2 linked regions of the Lonchura striata genome follow. The protein of the gene in region 1 interacts with the protein of each later gene in a biochemical or structural test. Links are inferred from orthologs where the notes say so. Each region holds a gene or a part of one and is shown in the gene's direction. Other genes may lie near its edges.

What was found.
Region 2: the proteins of FOXA2 (region 1) and OTX2 form a complex in vitro, tested with the Homo sapiens proteins (2 studies listed by BioGRID). The link is inferred for Lonchura striata from reciprocal best matches to the Homo sapiens genes FOXA2 and OTX2.

What each region holds. Positions count from the first base shown.
Region 1 is NC_134605.1:27,871,586-27,880,603, forward strand, and holds FOXA2 (hepatocyte nuclear factor 3-beta), read left to right. Parts: upstream 1-5,566; 5' UTR 5,567-5,620; coding exon 5,621-5,707; intron 5,708-6,186; coding exon 6,187-7,428; 3' UTR 7,429-7,571; downstream 7,572-9,018. UniProt on the Homo sapiens protein: Transcription factor that is involved in embryonic development, establishment of tissue-specific gene expression and regulation of gene expression in differentiated tissues.
Region 2 is NC_134608.1:4,122,523-4,132,873, reverse strand, and holds OTX2 (homeobox protein OTX2), read left to right. Parts: upstream 1-5,764; 5' UTR 5,765-5,807; coding exon 5,808-5,904; intron 5,905-6,253; coding exon 6,254-6,426; intron 6,427-7,664; coding exon 7,665-8,285; 3' UTR 8,286-9,612; downstream 9,613-10,351. UniProt on the Homo sapiens protein: Transcription factor probably involved in the development of the brain and the sense organs. Can bind to the bicoid/BCD target sequence (BTS): 5'-TCTAATCCC-3'.

The sequences.
Region 1 (9,018 bases):
CAGGCAGGCCGGGCTGAGGGTGGGGGGGATCCAAGTGTCCTGCTGTCACCGTGGCACCGCTGGTGCCTCATCCCAAGGCACAGAACCGGGATTGTGCTGACCCTGAACAGATTTATGGGGTGATCCTGGCCTGCTATTAGTGGTCATGGAACCGCAGACTCCCAGACAGGGCCTGATCCCAAGCTCCCGTGGTTTTTTTGGAAGCAGAAATCTCCACTCTGGCTGTTTTGCTGCAAGCTCTGCCAGGGACACCTCATTCCCAGGAAAATGGGGTACCCTGGCAGCAGACTGCCAGGAGGGGACATGATGGGTGACATAGAATGAGCAGTGCCTGCATTGACGAGCTCGGAGCAGCTCTGTCAGCTATTTATACCCGGAACGCAGGATTGGAGCCGCTTGGGATAAATGGAGCTATTTTCAAGGTCTTGGCCAGGTCTAACTGGTTTAAACAAGGCCGGGAATGACTCAGAGGGCTATAAATGTCCATCAGAATCCTCGGAGAGGCTGTCTCCGATGGATCTCCATGGAAAAGCAGCCTCCCGGAGCGCTGAGAAAGCTGGGACATGCTCCTGTCGCCCTGCTCTGGCACCCATTCCAAATCTCGTCAATTGTGAATGGCTGGGACTGCTTGGACTGGACACATCTCTGGTTTTACAGGTTGTGTAAGGAATTTGGGAATTGGGTCCCTTAATTTCACTCCTTGGATTATGTGCTGGACCGTCCTTGGGGTCATTCATCCCCCTGCCCTGAGCAGCAAATTTCCAGTGGGAATCAAAGCACCTCAGCCAGGCTGGAAGCTCTCCAGCAGCACGGGGGTTTTGTTAGGAAATAACAGGGAGCTATTAAAGCCCTGGGTTTTGGGAGGAGGCTCCAGGTTCCATTTTCTTCCTGTTTGTTTTCTTCTTGGGAACCCAAGGACATTTCAGTTTTCAGCAACTGATCATTAAACATAAAAAATATTTCCCAGGATGAACCCAAACCCTGGACATTTCAGTCAGGTGAAAATTCCCCTGCCTGCTGGGAGAAAATATCCATGGCAGGATTTTCCTGGGATGTGAGGAAGGCTTTCTTTCCTTTCTTTCTCGACCTGGGTATCTCCCTCCTCTCATCCTTCTCCCTGTGCCATGGGAGCTGGGGATGAATCCGCTAACTCCCGGTTTTCCGCAGCCAGCCAGCTCCTCCGGCCGTCATCCCAGATGCCTGCACATCTTGTTTATCTGGCAAAACGTGCTGCTGGAAAGCCGGGAATGGGCATCACGTGGCCCACGGCAAACAGCCGGCAGATGCCCTCTGTTGATTTTGCTCTGAAGCTTTTCCAGAGGCTGCTGGGCTCTTCCAAGGGGGTTTTGCCCATTCCCGCTGTGATCCCAATCCCACCCTCCCAGGATCCCCACCTCATGCTGGCATTGGCCCCAGGGATCATTAGGAATGCTTTCCTGGGAAGTTATTAATTCCCATCAGGATAACTGCCCGTGCTCCATTCCTAATAATGGGGCTTTATACCCATTGGGCTTTTCCCTGGTTTTATTTTATTCCAGCAGCTCCTTCCCTTCATCGACATCAGATAATTACGGAGCAGGAAGGAATGTTAAAACAGGGAGTGAAAATTCCAGAAAAAGGGATATATTCTGACTGTCTGGATCCTCAGGAATCCTTGTGGATGAAGCCAAGTTGCCTGCCCCTTGGATTGAAGGATATCATTCCAGAGTTAAAAGGGTGGATATCCTTGGGATATTAAAGAGACAGTATTTTTGCACAATCCTGGCTTTTCCTTTGTTAGTCTTGCTAAGGCCTTGGAAAATCTTTCCTGGAATTAAGCAGCCCCATTTAATGTGGAATCTAATTAGGAGGGACTCGGTTGAAGAGTTCCTCAAATAGTTGAGTCAATATTGGCCGGTGTAATTGTAGGAATTCCCGGTGGAATACCGGCACCTGTTCTAGAGCTGAGGCTCTGTGCGTGGGGAAAAAGAGGGAATTTCGGTGGTCTTCATCCGAATCCTTCAAGTAGCTTTTCCCAATGTATGGAATTTGTGGGAGCTTGGGAGCGGGATCCTGGTGCGCGTTCCCAAATTGATGCTGGATGTGACCCGGGGTGTGCTGTTGGCTCTTCCTGGAGAATTTTGTGGGAATACTCAGCTTAATTCCCAACTTCAGGAATGTGAATCATCCTCATCCTCATCCTCATCCATCTTCCTGTGGTTTGTCCTGCTTGTTGGAACAGAAGCTCCTGGGAATGCTTTCAACCCAGCAGAGCTCTTGACCTTACAAAGATGGATTCTACAGGAAAAATTGGAAATAAACCCAGCGAGAGGCAGCACAGTAGCAATGGAGCTTTCCTATGCTGCTCCACCCTTCCCTCTTCCCGCCTCAATCCCATCTCCCACCTCTTCCTGAAGTACTTCCAGGCACTGATTCATCCATAATTTCCATCTCTTATCAGGGAATGGCCTCAATAAATCTGACAAGTTGCCTTTTGTCTCCAAGAATCCTCCTGAAGGGCAGCTCTTCAGGAGCCTCTGTCTCCCAATTTCCTGATTTCAAGGGAAAAACCCAATCCCGCCTTTCTTTTGGAGGAGCAGCGCAACTGGGAGAGTTTATTATCCTAGATTAATGATGATAATTATCAGGAGAAGAGGGATAATTATCCAGCTTGGAGGGAAGACACTGGCATTGCTGCAAGGGATGGATGCAGAAAAAGCCCATCCAGACTCCAGCTGTCCCATGGGAAGTGGGAGTCCCCTCCCAAGCCTTGGCTCCCAATGCAAATAAGAGCATAATTTCAAAATTAAATTTAAAATAAATATTAGTTAAATATTAAAGAGAAGAAATCATATGGAGATAGCTGGGAACTCGCTCTTTCCAACCGGAATGTTTAAATAAGACACCACAGAAAAAATTTCTTTTTTAGCAGTCCTAGTATTCCTAAAAATGTTCTTTTTATGGGAAAATATCAAATTTCCTGCTTATTTTATTTAGGAGAGATTAATTTTATCTGTGTGGAAGGTGAGAAGGGAGCGGGAGGTGGTTGGATGTGGGAGCAGAGCCTCCAGAGTCAATCCCACATCCAGATGCTTTTCCAGGCCCGCGTTGCTGAATACAAATATTGGAATTGCTCCATGTCCTCGTATTCCTGCGACAACAGCTTTGTCTGATGAGCAGGAGTGGGATGTGGTGGCTGTGGTTGTTCCTGTGGGCACGTGGAATGGAATGAGCATCACCATTCCTGGCAGGATGTGCTCCATGGATGGAGCAGGATGGGAGAATTGTGGGACAGACAAAGGGAAAAATGGGATTTAAGTGTCTGGGACGGTGGGAATGTCCTGAAGGATCAAAAATCCAAGGAATTGGGGCAGGTCCCAGTCCACACCTGGATGAAAATCCTCACCTTTGATGGGGACAAAATTCCAAATCCTATGGAGCCAAAGCAGGGAAGCGGCACCTGGTAAAGGGGAAAGAGCAGGAAATTGGGAAAGGCAGGAGCTGCTGAGCTTGGGATGGTATCACCTCTGGCCACCCCTCACATGGAGGTGCCAGACATGCTCACATCTGTGCCAACATCTGCCCCAACATCTGCAGGGCCCAGGCCTGAGTGTGGGAATTGCCCGGGGAAAGGCTCATCCCAGCCTTTCTGGAATCCATCGGAACAAACCTCAAGGTCTGAGGGAAAAGGGGATGGAAAACCAGTGGGGTCTCATTCTGGATCTAGCCAGGAGCAGAGAGCAGGATCCTTGAGCATGCCCAGCAGCCACATCCCACATTTCATCCCATCCTCCCAGATTTCCCCCTTCCTGAGCCTTTGGATGAGCAGAAACCTCCTTGGAAACGCAGGAAGTGGAGATTCAGCACTTGGGGTGGACCAGCACCTCCCCTCCCAGCCGGGACGGGTGGTCTCGGGGTGCGGGCAGGGGGTGCGAGGGGGTGACCCCGGGACTGACCCCACAGGGTGTCCCTGGGTGTCCCCCCACCTCGGGGTGTCGTTCTCCGTCCCCCCCCGCACCCACAGCAGGCGACAGAGGGCGCCCCGCCACCGCGCTCGGGGTGTCCTTCCTCTCGGCGGGGCATCTCCCGCGGAGCCGTTCCCCCAAATCGCCCAAATCCCGGCAGAAAATGCCTGGAAGGGGTGGAGGGTGATGGGAGGGAGGTGGGCTGCGATTATCGCCGCGGCTATTGCGATGGAAACAAGGAAGCAGGGGTGTTTTCCTTTGGCCATGGATCCAGAGGGATTTGGGAGCACAGGGAAAAAATCCTGAAGGGGTTTGCTGGGGGGGGATTAAAAACTTTCGGCGACGTGGGGCAGGGGAGCCCCTCTGGGGAGCGCAAGCTCAATAAATAAATAAATAAATAAATAGATGAATAAACAATTAAATAAATAGATAAATAAATAATAATAAAAAAACAAATAAATCAGGCTTGCGGTTGGTTTGGGGTTTTGGTGGTGTTTTTTTGGTTTTTGTTGGTTTTTTTTTTTTTTTTTTTTTTTTTTATGACGGTGGGCAGATCTAGGTGGGAATTCATGGAACACTCCCCAGGAGCTGCGGGGATGTTCCCGGTGGAGCCAGGCGGGCACTGGGAAGGGGTGGTGGGAATGGGGAGAAGCCCTCCCATGCCTCCCTGTCGTCTTGGGTCTCCCCCGCGCTGTCAGGACCGCGATGGGGGGTAGGGGGGAATTTAGACCCGCGGGAGGGTGGTTTTGGTCACCCGTCTGTCCTTCCTTCCTCTTTCCCTCTTTTCCTCCTTTCCTGCTCTCCCCCCTCCCAGGCGCTCCGGCAGCGGCGCTGCCCCGACGGAGCGCACCGGGACCCGCACAGGGCCGGCCCCGCGGCCCCGCCGGCGCTGCCCGCCCCTTTCCCTGCTCTCCCTGCTCCGTTTAGTCCCGATTTTCCTGCCGGGAAGAGCCGTGTCCCGACCTGCCGGGGAGACAGAGCCGCGGGGCCCGTTGGCCGCGGGGAGCGAAGGTGCGCGGGGAGGGGAGCAGGGACCCGAGGGGGATGCCCGGCCGCCGCAGCGGGACTGCTCCCAGCAGCAATGCCGTCGGGGCTGTCCGGGCAGCGGGCTGGGAACGGTGCCCCTGGGAGCGGGATGGGGTGGCAGTGGTGTCCCCCGGCGCGAGGCGGTGGCAGAGGCGCGCAGAGGTGCGCGGGGCCGCGGAGGAGCCGCTCCCGCCTAGGTGTGAGCTGATTATTCAAATGGGCAGCCGAGGACCTGGGGATTGGAGGCTCGCCCGGCCGCTCCGTGCTATATCACTGGGGCACCCACGTCACTGCAGCACTTGTCCTCCTCTTCCTCCTCCTCCTCTTCTTCCTCCCTCCTCCCTCCTCCTCCTCCTCCTCCGGCTCCTCCATCGCCTCCGGGCGCCTCTTCGCCGCGGAGCGCTGCGAAAACCCACCCAAGGAGCGGCGGCGGAACAAACCCACCCCAGCCCCAGCGCCGCTACATCCCCCCCTTCCTCCCTCCCTCCTCTTCCTCCTCCTCCAGAGGCTCCGGCGGAGGGGAGGGAGGGTTGGGGAGTAATTTTTTTTGCCTTTTTTTTTTTGCTGCTTTTTTTTTTTTTTTTTTTTTTTTTTTTTTTTTGGGTCGCTCTCTGCCGTCGTTTGTTGTGGCTGTTAAATTTTAAACTGCCATGCACTCCACTTCCAGTATGCTGGGAGCGGTGAAAATGGAAGGCCATGAGCACACGGACTGGAGCAACTACTACGGGGAGCCCGAGGTATGGACGGAGCCGGAACCCCCCAAAACCCCCCGGTGTCCCGGCCCCCGGACGCGATTAACTTTGGCACCGGCTCCCTGCTGCGGGCGGGGATCCCGAGGTGCGGGTGGGGATGCAGGCGACTCTTCTCTGTTTTTCTTTCCACCCCCCTAGGTATTTTTCTCTCTCCGGTCAGAGATGTCCCTTTCCCTTTCCCTTCCTGCAACTCCGCTTCGCGGGACGGCTCCGCCGCTCCTGCTGCCACCGCGATTTTTCTAATATAAATACCAAAATATATTTGGGTTTCATTAAGAAGAAAAACAACCCCCCCCCGCCTGCCCCACCACCGCCCCGCGCCGGGATTTAACTCTTTCCTCCCGTGCCCTCCGCGGAGCCCCGCGGCTGTGGCGCGTCCGGGCTGGGCTGGGCTGGGCTGAGCTTGGCTGGGCTGGGGCTCCCCCCCGCGCCATCCCCGTGCCCTGTGTCGCTTGTCCCCGCAGGGCTACTCCTCGGTGAGCAACATGAACGCGGGTCTGGGCATGAACAGCATGAACACCTACATGACCATGTCGGCCATGAGCAGCACGGCCAACATGACGGCGGCGGCCACCTCCATGAACATGTCCTACGCCAACACGGGCATGAGCCCCTCGCTGACAGGCATGTCCCCGGGCGCAGGGGCCATGCCGGCCATGGGCTCGGCCGGCGTGCCGGGCATGGGTGCCCACCTGAGCCCCAGCATGAGCCCCATGGGCAGCCAGGCGGGCTCCATGAACGCCCTGGCACCCTACTCCAACATGAACTCCATGAGCCCCATCTATGGCCAGTCCAACCTGAACCGCTCACGCGACCCCAAGACCTACCGGCGCAGCTACACTCACGCCAAGCCGCCCTACTCCTACATCTCCCTCATCACCATGGCCATCCAGCAGTCCCCCAACAAGATGCTAACCCTCAGCGAGATCTACCAGTGGATCATGGACCTGTTCCCCTTCTACCGCCAGAATCAGCAGCGCTGGCAGAACAGCATCCGCCACTCGCTGTCTTTCAACGACTGCTTCCTCAAGGTGCCGCGCTCACCGGACAAGCCAGGCAAGGGTTCCTTCTGGACGCTGCACCCGGACTCGGGGAACATGTTCGAGAACGGCTGCTACCTGCGCCGCCAGAAGCGCTTCAAGTGCGAGAAGCAGCTGGCGGCCAAGGATGGCACTGGCGGCAGTGGCAGCAAGAAAGGCTCAGGCCAAGCCCCCAGCCAGCCCCTGGGCGAGGGCAGCTCCTCGGCAGGCTCCGATGGCTCTGCCAGTGCCGAGTCCCCCACCAGCTCCTCGCCGTGCCAGGACCACAAGCGCACCCTGGCCGACCTCAAAGGGCTGAGTCCCGGCGAGCCTTCGGCCTCTCCAGGCCAGCACCTGCTGGCCCCGCCACACGCCGGGCTGGCCCACGAAGGCCACCTCAAGCCTGAGCACCACTACGCCTTCAACCACCCATTCTCCATCAACAATCTGATGTCCTCCTCAGAGCAGCAGCACCACCACCCACACCACCAGCACCACCACCCGCACAAAATGGACCTGAAGGCCTACGAGCAGGTGATGCACTACTCGGGCTACGCCTCGCCCGTGCCCGCGGGCCTGGCCATGGCACCCGTAACGAACAAAAGCGCCCTGGAGGCCTCGCCTTTGGCCGGAGAGACTTCCTACTACCAAGGCGTGTATTCCCGGCCCATCATGAACTCCTCCTAAGCAGGAAAACGCTCCTGAAAAAAGGGGAAAACCTTCTCCCCCCCAATACCCCTCGCAATGGACTCTGAGTACGGTACATATCTGGTATATATATATATATTTTTTTTTTGTTGTTGTTCCCTTTTGGCTCCAGATGTTTGCATCCATTTGGGAACCTGCAGCCATGTGGCCCCTTCCCAAATCCACCCGGGGGAGGGCTCCATGTGGGGTGGTTTGGTTTGGCGGGGTGGGCATGGGGGGATTCTCCAGGGCTTGTTTTGATTTTTTCGTTGTTGTCGTCGCCACGAGGTCTAAATATATCTATTTTTTTGTGTGAGAGTGAGGGGGGGAAAAAAATAACCCTCAACCGAGGCAGAACCAACCCCTCCTTCCTTGTGAATATTCCTAGTTCGGAAACTGAGAACCAAAAGTCTTGAAACGTTGTAAAAAAAAAAAAAAAAAAAAAACAGACAAAAAAAAAAAACAAACACGGCGGGAGGGAAACGGGGGAAAGAAAAAAAAATAAAGAAAAAAATAAAAAAAAAAATTAAGAAAAGGCAGGATAGATTGTTGCAATTGAAGCAAATGCTTTAAGTTCCCGGGAGAGTAAACTACTCGGATCTGATTAATTTATCGTTTCTGTATGCTTTATTTATGTCTTCGAACTGTGTATTCTGGTAGCGAGCGGCCGCAGCTGCCGCAGAACTCCATTAAAGTCGTATTGGCGGTGCTTTTCCCCCTGAATCTCTGTTCCGCCGCCGCCGCCCGACGGGACCCCCGCCGCTCCCGGCTTGGCATCGCCGCTGTCCCTGCCGGCATACCCGGGATCTCCCGGCTGCTGCCGCTCCAAACCCGGCTGGGATCGCTTCATACCCGGCTGGGATCCCTCCGATCCCCCCGCCGGAATCCCTCCAGCCCCCGCTGGAATCTCCGATGTCTCTGCCGCCATCCTTTCATCCCTTCCGGAACTCCTCCATCCATTCTAGGATACCCCCATCCCCGCAGGATCACACTATTCCTTCCAGGATCCCGCTATCCCCGCCGGGACATCTCCATGCCCGCGGGATCCCTGCCAGGATCGCACTATTCCCACCCATCCCACCCCGACACCGCGGCCAGGGAAAATCCGCTCCTCCCGCTCAAGGTGGGAATCCGGGACATCTCTCCCAAAGCCCTGCGATCCTGGAAAAATCATCCCAGCTGCGTTAACCGGGAGGGATTTAGGACTCGCAGGGGCAGCGCATCCCTGCCTTTGCCGGGACAGCATCCCAGATTTTCGGCGGGCGGTGGAAAAAGGGCAGAGCTTTTTATTTTCAACACCTCCCGCATCCTCTCCTTCCATTCCCTTTTTCGCCCTCTTCCCAACCACTTGTTGTTTTTCCCACGCGGCGCCGGCCACGCCGCGATGTTGCTTTCCCAACTAACATCCAAATCCTTCTTAAAATTCCGCATTGTCCGCGGCGAGAGAAAAGGGGAGAAAGGGAACGAGCGGGGAGGAGCGGGGCGGGGGTGGGGGGTGGCGGGAGGCGAGTAGGGGGAAAGAGGAGAAGGGGAAAAAAAGAATCTTCCTAAAAAAAAAAAACAACTGGGGCTGAAATGTGTCGGGATCTC
Region 2 (10,351 bases), on another chromosome or scaffold:
TGAGATTGTGGGGGGGATGCTGCAAAGGGACGGCGGCTGCAGCTGCCCCTCCCTTACCCACACCTCTTTCCCCCACAATTAAAAAAAAAAAAAAACACAACAACAAACAAACTCAACTAGACAAACAAACCCACAAAAAAAAAAAAAAAAAAAAGTCCCCACAAAAGAGAGAAAAATAAATCAAAACACAACCCCAAGAAAGGCAGGGGTTGGGAATCCCGTGGGGCCAGGGGGTACCTGCCGGGGGTACCCCGGGTATCAACTTTCCATGAAGTCGCCTCGTAACAAAAAAGAAAAAAAACCCCAAAAAACCAAACCAAATCCAACCAAAAAAAGCCCCAAACAAATACAACCCAGCGGCCAAAGTGGGAGCGGCTCCGGCGGTCAGGGCTGCGTCGCTTCTGGGCGAGGGGGTATTTTGTTTATTTGTTTGTTTGTTTGTTTGTTTGCCTTCCTTTCCCCTCCCTCCTTCCCTTCTGCCGCCTCCTTCCTCCTCCTTTCTGGGAGTAAAGGATTTAAAAAAAAAAAAAAATCAACCCAAAACCAAGCCACACCACCCATCCTCCCAGCCCAGCCCCGAGCATCCCAAACCTGCTCCTGCAAACCTCCAGCCCGGGCTGCGCCGCCGCCGCTAAAGTCCAAGGACAACCACGTTGGATCGCACTCAGCCGGGCTCGGAGAAAGCCACAAAGAAGCCAATTAATTGCTATAACTTCATTAACATAGGTCACCCCGTGAAAATGATGGAGCCGCTGCAGTTTTTTTCCCCCCATTGTCACAAAGTGAGGAAAGTCTGTGAGCGCTCCCTCCCTCCGACCTCAGCCGCCTCCATCCTCCTGCCTTTTGCCAGGGCTTTATTTTCGGGGTGCTGTGAGCCGCGAGAAGTTGAGCGAGGACGGGAGGTGCCAGGGGAACATCCCGGTGCCCGGCTCCGGTGTGCCAGGCCGGGAACCCCCTGGGCCCTCCTCACCCTCAGCCCGTCACTGCTCCCAAATTATTCCCATTAAAAACATGCGCGCGTCCCTCTTTGCAATTTCAACGCGACGCCGATAAGTTCCATTCCGCACCCTCGTTCCTTATAGATCTTTAAAAATACAATTTAAAACGCGTTTATGTCGTCCCCCAGGTGACTCCATTTCCCCTCTTCCAGGGGTGACTTGGCCCCTGGGAGGTGGAATTGGGGTGTGGTCGATTTGTGGGTGCCACTGGGGGGACCCGGGGCTGGGGGCACCCCGCTCTGTGCTGGGGGGGATTCTCCCCTTGGCTCCCGCGGGTTTTCCTCTCACCCATCTCCTGCTGCTCAGCCCAGGGCTCCCGGCAGGCTTCGTGTCCCCCCTTCACAAATATTTACTTCTATACATTAATATCTTTTGTTGTTGTTGTTATTATTATTACAGCCACCCCCCAGCCTTCTGCTGCCCCCCCTTTCCTCGCCTTCCCCGGGCAGTTCGCTAATTCCATCTCTGCTGTCCATCACATTAATTTCTACAATGACTTCATCCGCTCCGCTCCATAATGTATATTTTTAAACCGAGCAGGTTCTTTTAATGTATATTCTGGTGTCATTTCGGCGGCTGTTATTTCTCTCTGGATTGTCCCCCCGGTACAGCAGCGGCCTGTTTTTTCCTCCCCCTGTGTGTGTTTTTATTATTTTCCCCCTGGCTTAGATGTGTCAATCACTCTCTCCCTGCCATTGGTTGGAGAGTTTGCGTCAAAAAGTTGCCAGAGAGGCGCTTTCTCAGCAAAGCTCCCCGAGAGAGGTAGAGACCTTCAGCTCCAACGCACCCTGCCACTATTATTAAAAATAAAACCACTTTGACCAGCTCCAGCACCGGCCAGCTCTGTATGTACCGAGCCCAGACCCCGAGCATCCCCGCATCCCTCTCCTGCACCGTCCCCTCCCCTTTTTCCCCATTTATTCTCCTTTTTCAAACATTTTTTTCTCCACCCCCCCCTCCCCCCCCCCTTTCCCCCCGATGTCGTGGGCATGTGCATGCGGCGAGCTCTCTAACCTCCCGCTTTGTGCTTTCTCTCCCAGCTCAGCCCGAGCTCTGAATTTGGCGAGGATCCGGGAGCAGCTTTCCCCCTTCGCCCCCCAGCCCTGCCCGCGGCTCCGGCGAGCCTCGCAGGTAAGTCCGACCCGCTGGCTCCATCCTTCCTCGGGGGCACGGCTGGGCGGCCAGGAACGCGGGGAGAATTCAAATGATCGAATTTTTTTTTTTTATTTGTTTGTTTGTTTAAATGATGATTATTTTCAAGCAGCCTGTGCGCGGTGGGGCTGCGCTGTGCGGGGATCCCGCAGGAGCTGCCCGGGAGAGGCCGGGCCGGGCCGGGCGGAGGCGGCCCCGGCTCGGGGACAGCACCGGCTCGGTGCTCGGCAGGGACCGGGAGCTGCAGGATGAGAGGGAAAAAGGCAAAATTGGGAAGCGTGGGGCGCTGCCCATCGCCGCCCTCGCCCCCCGAGCCTCGTCCCCCGCGGCCGGGCGCGGAGCCGCTCGCTCTCCGCGGGCAGGCGCGGGGCTTCATCGCCTTTTCGTTGGGTACATGATTTTTTTTCCGGCCTGTTCCTTTGGCCTGTAGATATTTCCTGACCTCAAGCTTGAGTTTTAAAATTATGGAGAAAAAAATAAAACCAAAATAAAACCAAAAAACCAACCAACCAAAAAACCAACGGGGAGGAATTGAATTTCTCCCCTCTTCCGACTCCTACCTGAGAACCCTTTCATCCTCCTCCTCTTCCTCGCGATGCGGAGACTCAGCAAAGTAATTTTGCAAAGGTGTTTTTGAGCACTCACGGCCCGGGAGAACCGGGCTGGAAAGCGCAGGGAGAGAAATCTTCAAAGCATTTAGGGCCGGAGCTTCAGGATTTGGGGCGGGCGAAAGGGGTGGCAGGAATGGCATCCAGGTCGGAGAGGGGCTGGAACTGGTATCCACCTCCTTTATTTTATTTTAATTTTATTTTTTTATGCCTTGGGAAAGCGCTTCCTAAAGACACCGACCGCGAGTAGCGCGGCCCGGCCTCTCTATATTCGCACCGCGCTGACAAAGAAAAACTCGGGAAAAGTCCTTGTGCAGCGGCACAAGTTTCTTTAGAACTAAAACCCTCCTTGGCTGCTGAGTTTTATTTCGATTTCGGCTGCTTAGAGAAGTTGAGGCTTATTATTTATTTATTTTGAAAAGGCGCAACTCTAGTTAAAAAAATATATATATAATAATAGAAAGAAGTGGGGGAAAAAAGCACTTTAAAAATGCGGCCGGGTGCTGCTGGGCGGCAGGGACGGGCCTGGGGCGGACGTGGCTGCCCGCCGAGCCCGGCCCTGCCGCTCCCGGGGCCGGGGAGGAGCCGCGGCCGCGGAGCAGCGCGGAGCTGCGGAGGGAGAAGCGCTGGGGGACCGCCCGGCAGAGCGGGTGACGGGTCCATCCCCACCGCCTTTGCAATTTGTGGTAAAATTCGCTTGTCGGGAAATATCCCTTCAAACAGTCCCTTCAGTGCGGGAAAAAAAAAAAAAAAAAAAAAAGAAAAAGAAAAAAAAAGGTTTGATTTAAAAAAAAATTAAATAAATTTGGATTCGTTGAATTCGTTGGAGCGCGGCGAGGGCAGGGAACGCGGCTGTCGTTCGCAAAACAAAAGGAAACAAATTCCCTTCTCTACCTTGGCACCTTTCCCCCCGCCCTCCGCGGGAGCCCCTCCGCGCTGCTCCGCGGCCCGGCCGAGCCCCCCCGGCCCCCGCAGCGCGGCCGGGGCCGGGGGCGCAGCCTGCGCGGCCGGGCGCGGATCGCTGCCCCGCATTAATCACCGGGGCGAGCAGCGGAGCCGGGGCCGGTGCCTCGTAATTAGGGAGCGTGTGCCGCCCGGATTATCTCGTTAGTTTATCAAGAAAACATTTATTATAATTAATTCTCGGACGGGGTAATTATTATTGAGCGAGGGCAGAGCAACTGGTAGCCGGGATGTGCGCGGAGCGGGGGGAGCGGGAGGCGGGGGAAGGTGACAGATTGCGGAGTGGAGCCGTTGCTCCGCGGGCTGCGCGGCGGCCCCGGGATGCGCGGCCGCGGCCGAGGGGCTCCGCGGGCGGCCGCGCCGGGCTGGCGCCTCGGTGGGATGCCGCCGAATTTAACCGAACGGCTTGCTTTTTTTGGAGAGGAGGTGTTTGTGTGTGTTTTTTTTTGTTTTGGTTTTTTTTTTTTAGTATTTTTTTCTTTTTTTTTCTTTTTAAAATATTTTTGTCCGCTCGTTTTGAAGCGGGCAGCAAGCCCCGCTTTGCTCTCCCGCGCGTCTTGCGCGGAGAACAGAGCGTGGCTCCCCCCTCGGCAGAACCGTCCCCGTTCGGCTTCCCCCGGGGGGTGATGCTAAAAGCGGGGCCCGACCCTGCGCCCCCCGCGCTGGATGCGCGCTCCCTCCGCCGCTCAGCCCGGCAAATCCCTTCCCCGAGGGGAGAAGCGGAAAGTCCGCGCCGCGGAGAACTCGCACCGCCGGGGGTGCACGGGGCTGGAGCCCCCCGGCAGCGCTGGGCCCTCCCGGGGAGTCGGCTGGGCTGGAACGCGGAGTTTTGGGCTCTTTCGGGAAGAAAGTTCTGCTGGAGTTCGTTTTCCCGACGGCTGCTGGGATGGAGGGAAGGGCGAGCTTTCATTCAAAAAGATTTTAAAAAAAATATTTTCTGTGGGGAAAAAACGGCCTAAACCTTTTTAACCTTTTTATGAGTCTCTGTTTGGCCCGTTGCCGTCCTTTTTTTTTTTTTTTTTTTTTTTCTCCTTTTTTTTCCCTTTTTTTTTTTTTTTTGTTTTGGCGGACCCCATATTTGGGTCCCCCCTCGTTCCCCGGCGCAGAGATGCCGGTCCCGTCGGGGCAGCGAGAGGGGACCGGGGCAGCCCGAGCGGTGACCGGGAGAGCCGCTGGCTCGCCGGGGCTGTCCCGGGGCCGCTCACCGCCGGGCTGTTTGTTTAGCTTCAGCTCCGTCATCAAGAGTTTCTTGAAAGCCTAATAAATCTGTTACTTGCCTCCAAATCTAATTACCCGGAGTACTAATTAGGTGCAAATGGCCGGTGGAAATTACTGCAGACGTGGACTGATGGCGGGAGAGCAGAAAAGTTTGGCTCTTCCCGAGCGGGCATTTGAGCTCTGAAATGCAGCAACGTCGGGGGGAAGGGGAAAAGGGGGAGAAGGGGGGAAAGGTTTGAATGTTGCCCAAACCTGGGATAATTAAAGTCCTTGCAAGAGACTAGTGGAGAGATAGGTTTCTTGAATTGTTTCTTTGTTTCTCACCCTTGGGCTTTGTTATCTGCATTATTTATTTAGCCGAGGGGTTCTTTGTGTCTGCCAATGGCCCCAATCAAGTTTTGCTTGAGACAATTAGCCGGTGCCCGGCCGGGAATCCTATGCAAATGCCCCCGGCCGCCGTACAATGCGGGCAGTTGAAGGCATGGGGGGGTTTTGTTCGGGCAGTAATTACTGGCTGGGATGTGCCCCCCCTTCCCTCCCCTCCTCGCCCTTTTTGGGGAGAGATGCGTTTATCTAGTCAGTCTCTCCCAGCTCCCAAATCTGGTTGGGGTCCGAGAGGGAGGATTGACGAGGGTGGAGGGGGGGGGAAAGGCAGCCGGGATAAAAGCGGGGGGGGCGGGGGGCAGCGATCTGGCCTGACTCCCCCCTTCATCCCCGCATTGCTCCCTCCTCTTCCTCCTGCGCAGGCACCTGGCGGCCCCCCCACGCCCGACGGCTCCCCCAGGCACCGCCCGGGGCAGGCAGGGCGCTCGGCCGGCTCCCCCTCGCCCGGATTTCGGCCAACTCTCCTCCCCGCCACAACTTTAGCATGATGTCTTATCTTAAGCAACCACCTTATGCAGTCAATGGCCTGAGTCTCACAACCTCGGGCATGGATTTGCTGCATCCGTCCGTCGGTTATCCCGGTAAGCCACGTTTTTCTTCCCTCTTCCCTCCCTCTATTTTGCTGCGCGGGGGAGAAACCGCTGGGATTTTGGAGGCACAACATGCCCAGGGATCACGGCTGGCTTGGGCGGGTGAACGCGTGGGGTCCCTTCTTCCTGACCCCCAAGTTTTTCTGGGGGAGAGGGGCTGCAAACAGGGCAGACCCCGGCGCTGGGGATGCTCCGAACGCACGGAGTTGGGACGGCCGCGCTGTGGCGGCTGATCCTGGGGGTGCGGGACCCCCGGGAGAGGGGAGAGAATGTGGGTGCCCCTCTAGGGAGGGGGCTGGAGGGGACAGCGGGGTCTAAGGGGCCGCTGACTGACAGCCAGGGCCTCTGGCTCCGTTCGCAGCCACCCCGCGGAAGCAGCGGCGGGAGCGCACCACCTTCACCCGGGCGCAGCTGGATGTGCTGGAGGCTCTTTTCGCCAAGACCCGCTACCCCGACATCTTCATGCGGGAGGAGGTGGCCCTGAAAATCAACCTGCCCGAGTCCCGAGTGCAGGTAGGATGCGGAGATCCCTACCTGCCCTCCCCCTCCGTACCGCGGGAAGGGCTTGGGCTGGCCTGTGCCTGACTGGGAGGGACACGGCTTTAGGGGATGGATCCAGTCCTGAAGCCAAATCAAGCCCTTGTGGGGTGAAGGAGGCTCAGAGACGGGTGGGGGTTCAGTGAGGGGATGTGGTGGCATTTTGCATCCCCAGGGCTGGCTGTGCCCCCCCTTCCTCCCTCTGCACTGAGGGGGTGTTATGCAGATCCTGGATCCCAGCTCTTGGACCTTCCACACCCATCCCCAGCACGCCCAAATCCCAGTCTGTCCTGCAGAAGCCACAGAGGATGCCCACTTCCCCGGGGATCACCACATCCCTGGAGCTGGGCCAGACTGGGATCCCAGACCAAACCAGTACAGACTGGGAGCTTCCTCCCCCTCTGAGGGGACTTTGATGAGAGAGGGGCTGCCTTGGTGGAGAGAGCCCCTCTCCCGGGGCTGGGCTGTGTCTGCTCTGCAGGGAGCCCATGCAGGCAGCATTTTGGAGATGCTGCTGGCAAGGCAGGAGGGTCCTGCTCCCTCTGGGACCTAGAACACCCCAGCAGCAGGGGGACAGGGCATCTCCAAAGCCATCCCTTCCACTTGCTCCCTGACGAGGCTTCCCGAGGCTGTGTGGTGCTCCCGTGGAGCGTGGTGGCCGGGATCAGGATACCCCCATGCCAAACCCCATCCTCCTTCCCACAAAACCTCCCCAGAGCCAGCCAGCCCCCTTGGGCCCTGCTAAGGGAAGGTGAGATGGGCTGAGGGGCCAACTCTGGCCGAGGGGGTGAGAGCAGAGAGCCTGTTTGGAGGATAAATGAGACATCTTTACCCCTCTCCCCACCCTGAACCTCTGCTTCCCTAATTGTTCCCTGCTTTTCTGATGTTCTATTGTTTCTAATTAAGGGCTCGACTTCAATAGGCCTTACGCAGTGATTCCTGGGGGTCCCCGGCTGGCAAACAGCAAAGAGAGAATGCTTCCCCTTCTCCCGAAAAGTGACCTTATTAAGGAGTTTGATTTGTGATTTCCACTCGTTATTGCTGCTAATTATCTCAGGGAGGGGAAGCCCCGGAGCTTCCCTTCGCAGCAGCCTGCAACCCTCTGCTCTTGGGGGACAGTTTAGGGTTTCCCTCCCCGGCGAGGTCTGCCTGCCACCATCTCATCCCTAACCCCAGGCTTTTTCTCTCTCCCTCCCTTGTGTCTCTGCCTCAAGGTGTGGTTTAAAAACCGCCGAGCCAAGTGCCGGCAGCAGCAGCAGCAGCAGCAGAACGGGGGCCAGAACAAGGTCCGGCCGGCTAAAAAGAAGAATTCGCCCGCCCGGGAAGTGAGCTCGGAGAGCGGGACCAGCGGGCAGTTCACTCCCCCCTCCAGCACCTCAGTCCCCACCATTTCCAGCAGCAGTGCCCCCGTGTCCATCTGGAGCCCAGCGTCCATCTCCCCGCTCTCAGACCCCCTGTCCACCTCTTCCTCCTGCATGCAGAGATCCTATCCCATGACCTACACCCAGGCATCAGGCTACAGCCAAGGATACGCTGGATCGACCTCCTATTTCGGAGGGATGGACTGTGGATCTTACTTGACCCCTATGCACCACCAGCTCCCCGGGCCGGGGGCCACCCTGAGTCCCATGGGTGCCAACGCGGTCACCAGCCACCTCAACCAGTCTCCAGCCTCCCTCTCCACCCAGGGCTATGGAGCCTCCAGTTTGGGCTTTAACTCCACCGCCGATTGCTTGGATTATAAAGACCAAACGGCCTCCTGGAAGTTAAACTTCAATGCTGACTGCTTGGATTATAAGGACCAGACATCGTCATGGAAGTTCCAGGTTTTGTGAAGAACCTTTGTGATACCGAGAGAAATCGCGACGAGAACGAACAGGCTGGGCTGAGCGCTCCAGTTTTAGTCAGGTCTTGGTTAAGTTAAAGAGAAAAATAACTCCACGGACAAACAAATGAACAAAACAAAAAAAAAAAAATAAACAAACTTGACAGCAACAAGAGGGGGACAGTGTTGGTGTGATCCCGTTCAGACTCATCTCCTGCTCAGACGCTCTGGAAAAGGAATAATAAAGAGGAAAAACGGAGGAGGAAGGCCTTAAATGGACAGATCATCTAGTGAGCAGAAACCAGACAGACCCATCTGTGTTCTTTCTAGTTTTAGCCAATTGTTGGGTTTCTTTGTTTGGAAGAGGTGGGAGATCTTCCCACCTGCGGGCCAGTTTAAAAAAAAAAAAAAAAAGTCTAGGTTTTTATTTCTTTTTTTGTGTGTGCGTGGAAAGATGATCCTTCACCCAGAGGTTTCCAATGTGTTAGCCAACCCTCGGTTAAAATATTCAGAATGGACAACATCTCTCTTTTTCTCCCTCTTTTTGTCCCTCCCTCTTTCTTTTCTCTCTCTCGAGCTCATCCAACTGTTTCATGCCCAACTTGCTGAAGTTGGCACCCGGAGAACTTGGTTCAGGGCTGTGTGGGTTGTGTGACTGATTGTCCTAGCTGCACTACTTTATTTAAAGATTAAGAAAAAAAAAAAAGATAATGTTCATAAGGAGTCAATATGTAGTTTTTAAGAGACAATCAGTGTGTGTCTTATATAAATGGTACATCTGTGGTTTTTAATCTGTGCTAGACTTCAAAACTGTGATCTCCTGTATTGTATGCAACTATGAACTCTGCACCAGCAGGAGTTCTGCTGTGATTTAAATAGGTTATAATTATAAGTGAAATTCAGAGCAACTGAGTTACCTATTATCATCTTTAAAAAAAAATAATTAAAAATATATATTTAAAAAATAATAAAAAAGAAAAAAAAAAAAGAAAAACGCAAAAAACACGATCGCCTTTCACCCGAGGTGAACTGCACTGAAACTTTTTACAACAAACTGTCTCTGAATGAAAGAGGAAAGACCGAAAATACCCCACCCGAGGACATTTAACTCCTCTGGAGCTCACTTACTGCTGGCCACGCCGGCAGTAACCGTCAAATCCGACAGGACTTTGGGCAGTTGCTCTGACCTGGATGAATTTAAACCAAGAAATTCATTGTCGTTTATGCTTGCAGATGTTAACTGAAAAAAAAAAGAAAAAAAAAAGATATATATGCATAAACCTTTTTTTCCTGGATTTGGCAGATATGTATAATTATATTAAAATGGTTCTAGCACACTTGATGTTTGTCTTCCATTTCAATCACAGCCGGCGAGGGACGGAGAAGGGGCACGGGAGACCAGGAGGGTCTGGCTGCTTCTGCAGGGTTGAGACAAAAGGGGTTCTGCTGGCATCTCCCCGAGGTGTAGGAAGCAAAAATCGAGGAGGGGCGTTATTTTATTTTTGAAATCTTTAATTAAAAAAAACTTCCATTACAAGCAGAGCTTGGCTAAGGTGACCTTTCCCACCCCAGCTTCGCCAAATCTCTTGGTGGGGAGGGAGGGACGTGGCTGCCCGGCGGCTTCTTCCCAGGGGATGGAGTCCCCAGTTGTGTCTTTGGGGAGAACTTTCCAGGCAGAAAGAAAGGAGAACCTGGATCAGGCAGAGGTGCTGGGGAAGGAGAGGGATGGTGTTTGAGCTACAATCTCACCAGCTGAAGCCCCAGGATGCAGGATCAGGCCTTTCCCACGCATTCCCTCTTCTTGGTGGCTCTTTCTCTGTCCCTCTCCCTCTTTCTCCCTCTCTCCTTCCCGTGTGCAGTGCTGGAGCTGCTGGAGCCCTGCACTCGGGTTGGATTTAGCACAGTGAAATAATGGATCTCTGGAAAGGGAGTGATCTGGGAAAAAAAACCCAGCACCATGTCACTTGCTGTCCCCCAGGTTTGTCACCAGCACCCTGTGAGCCACCCAGGGCCACCAGCACCACGCTTTGGTCCTCAGGACTGAGGAGCACGAGTGATGAGGCAGCCACGGTGCCT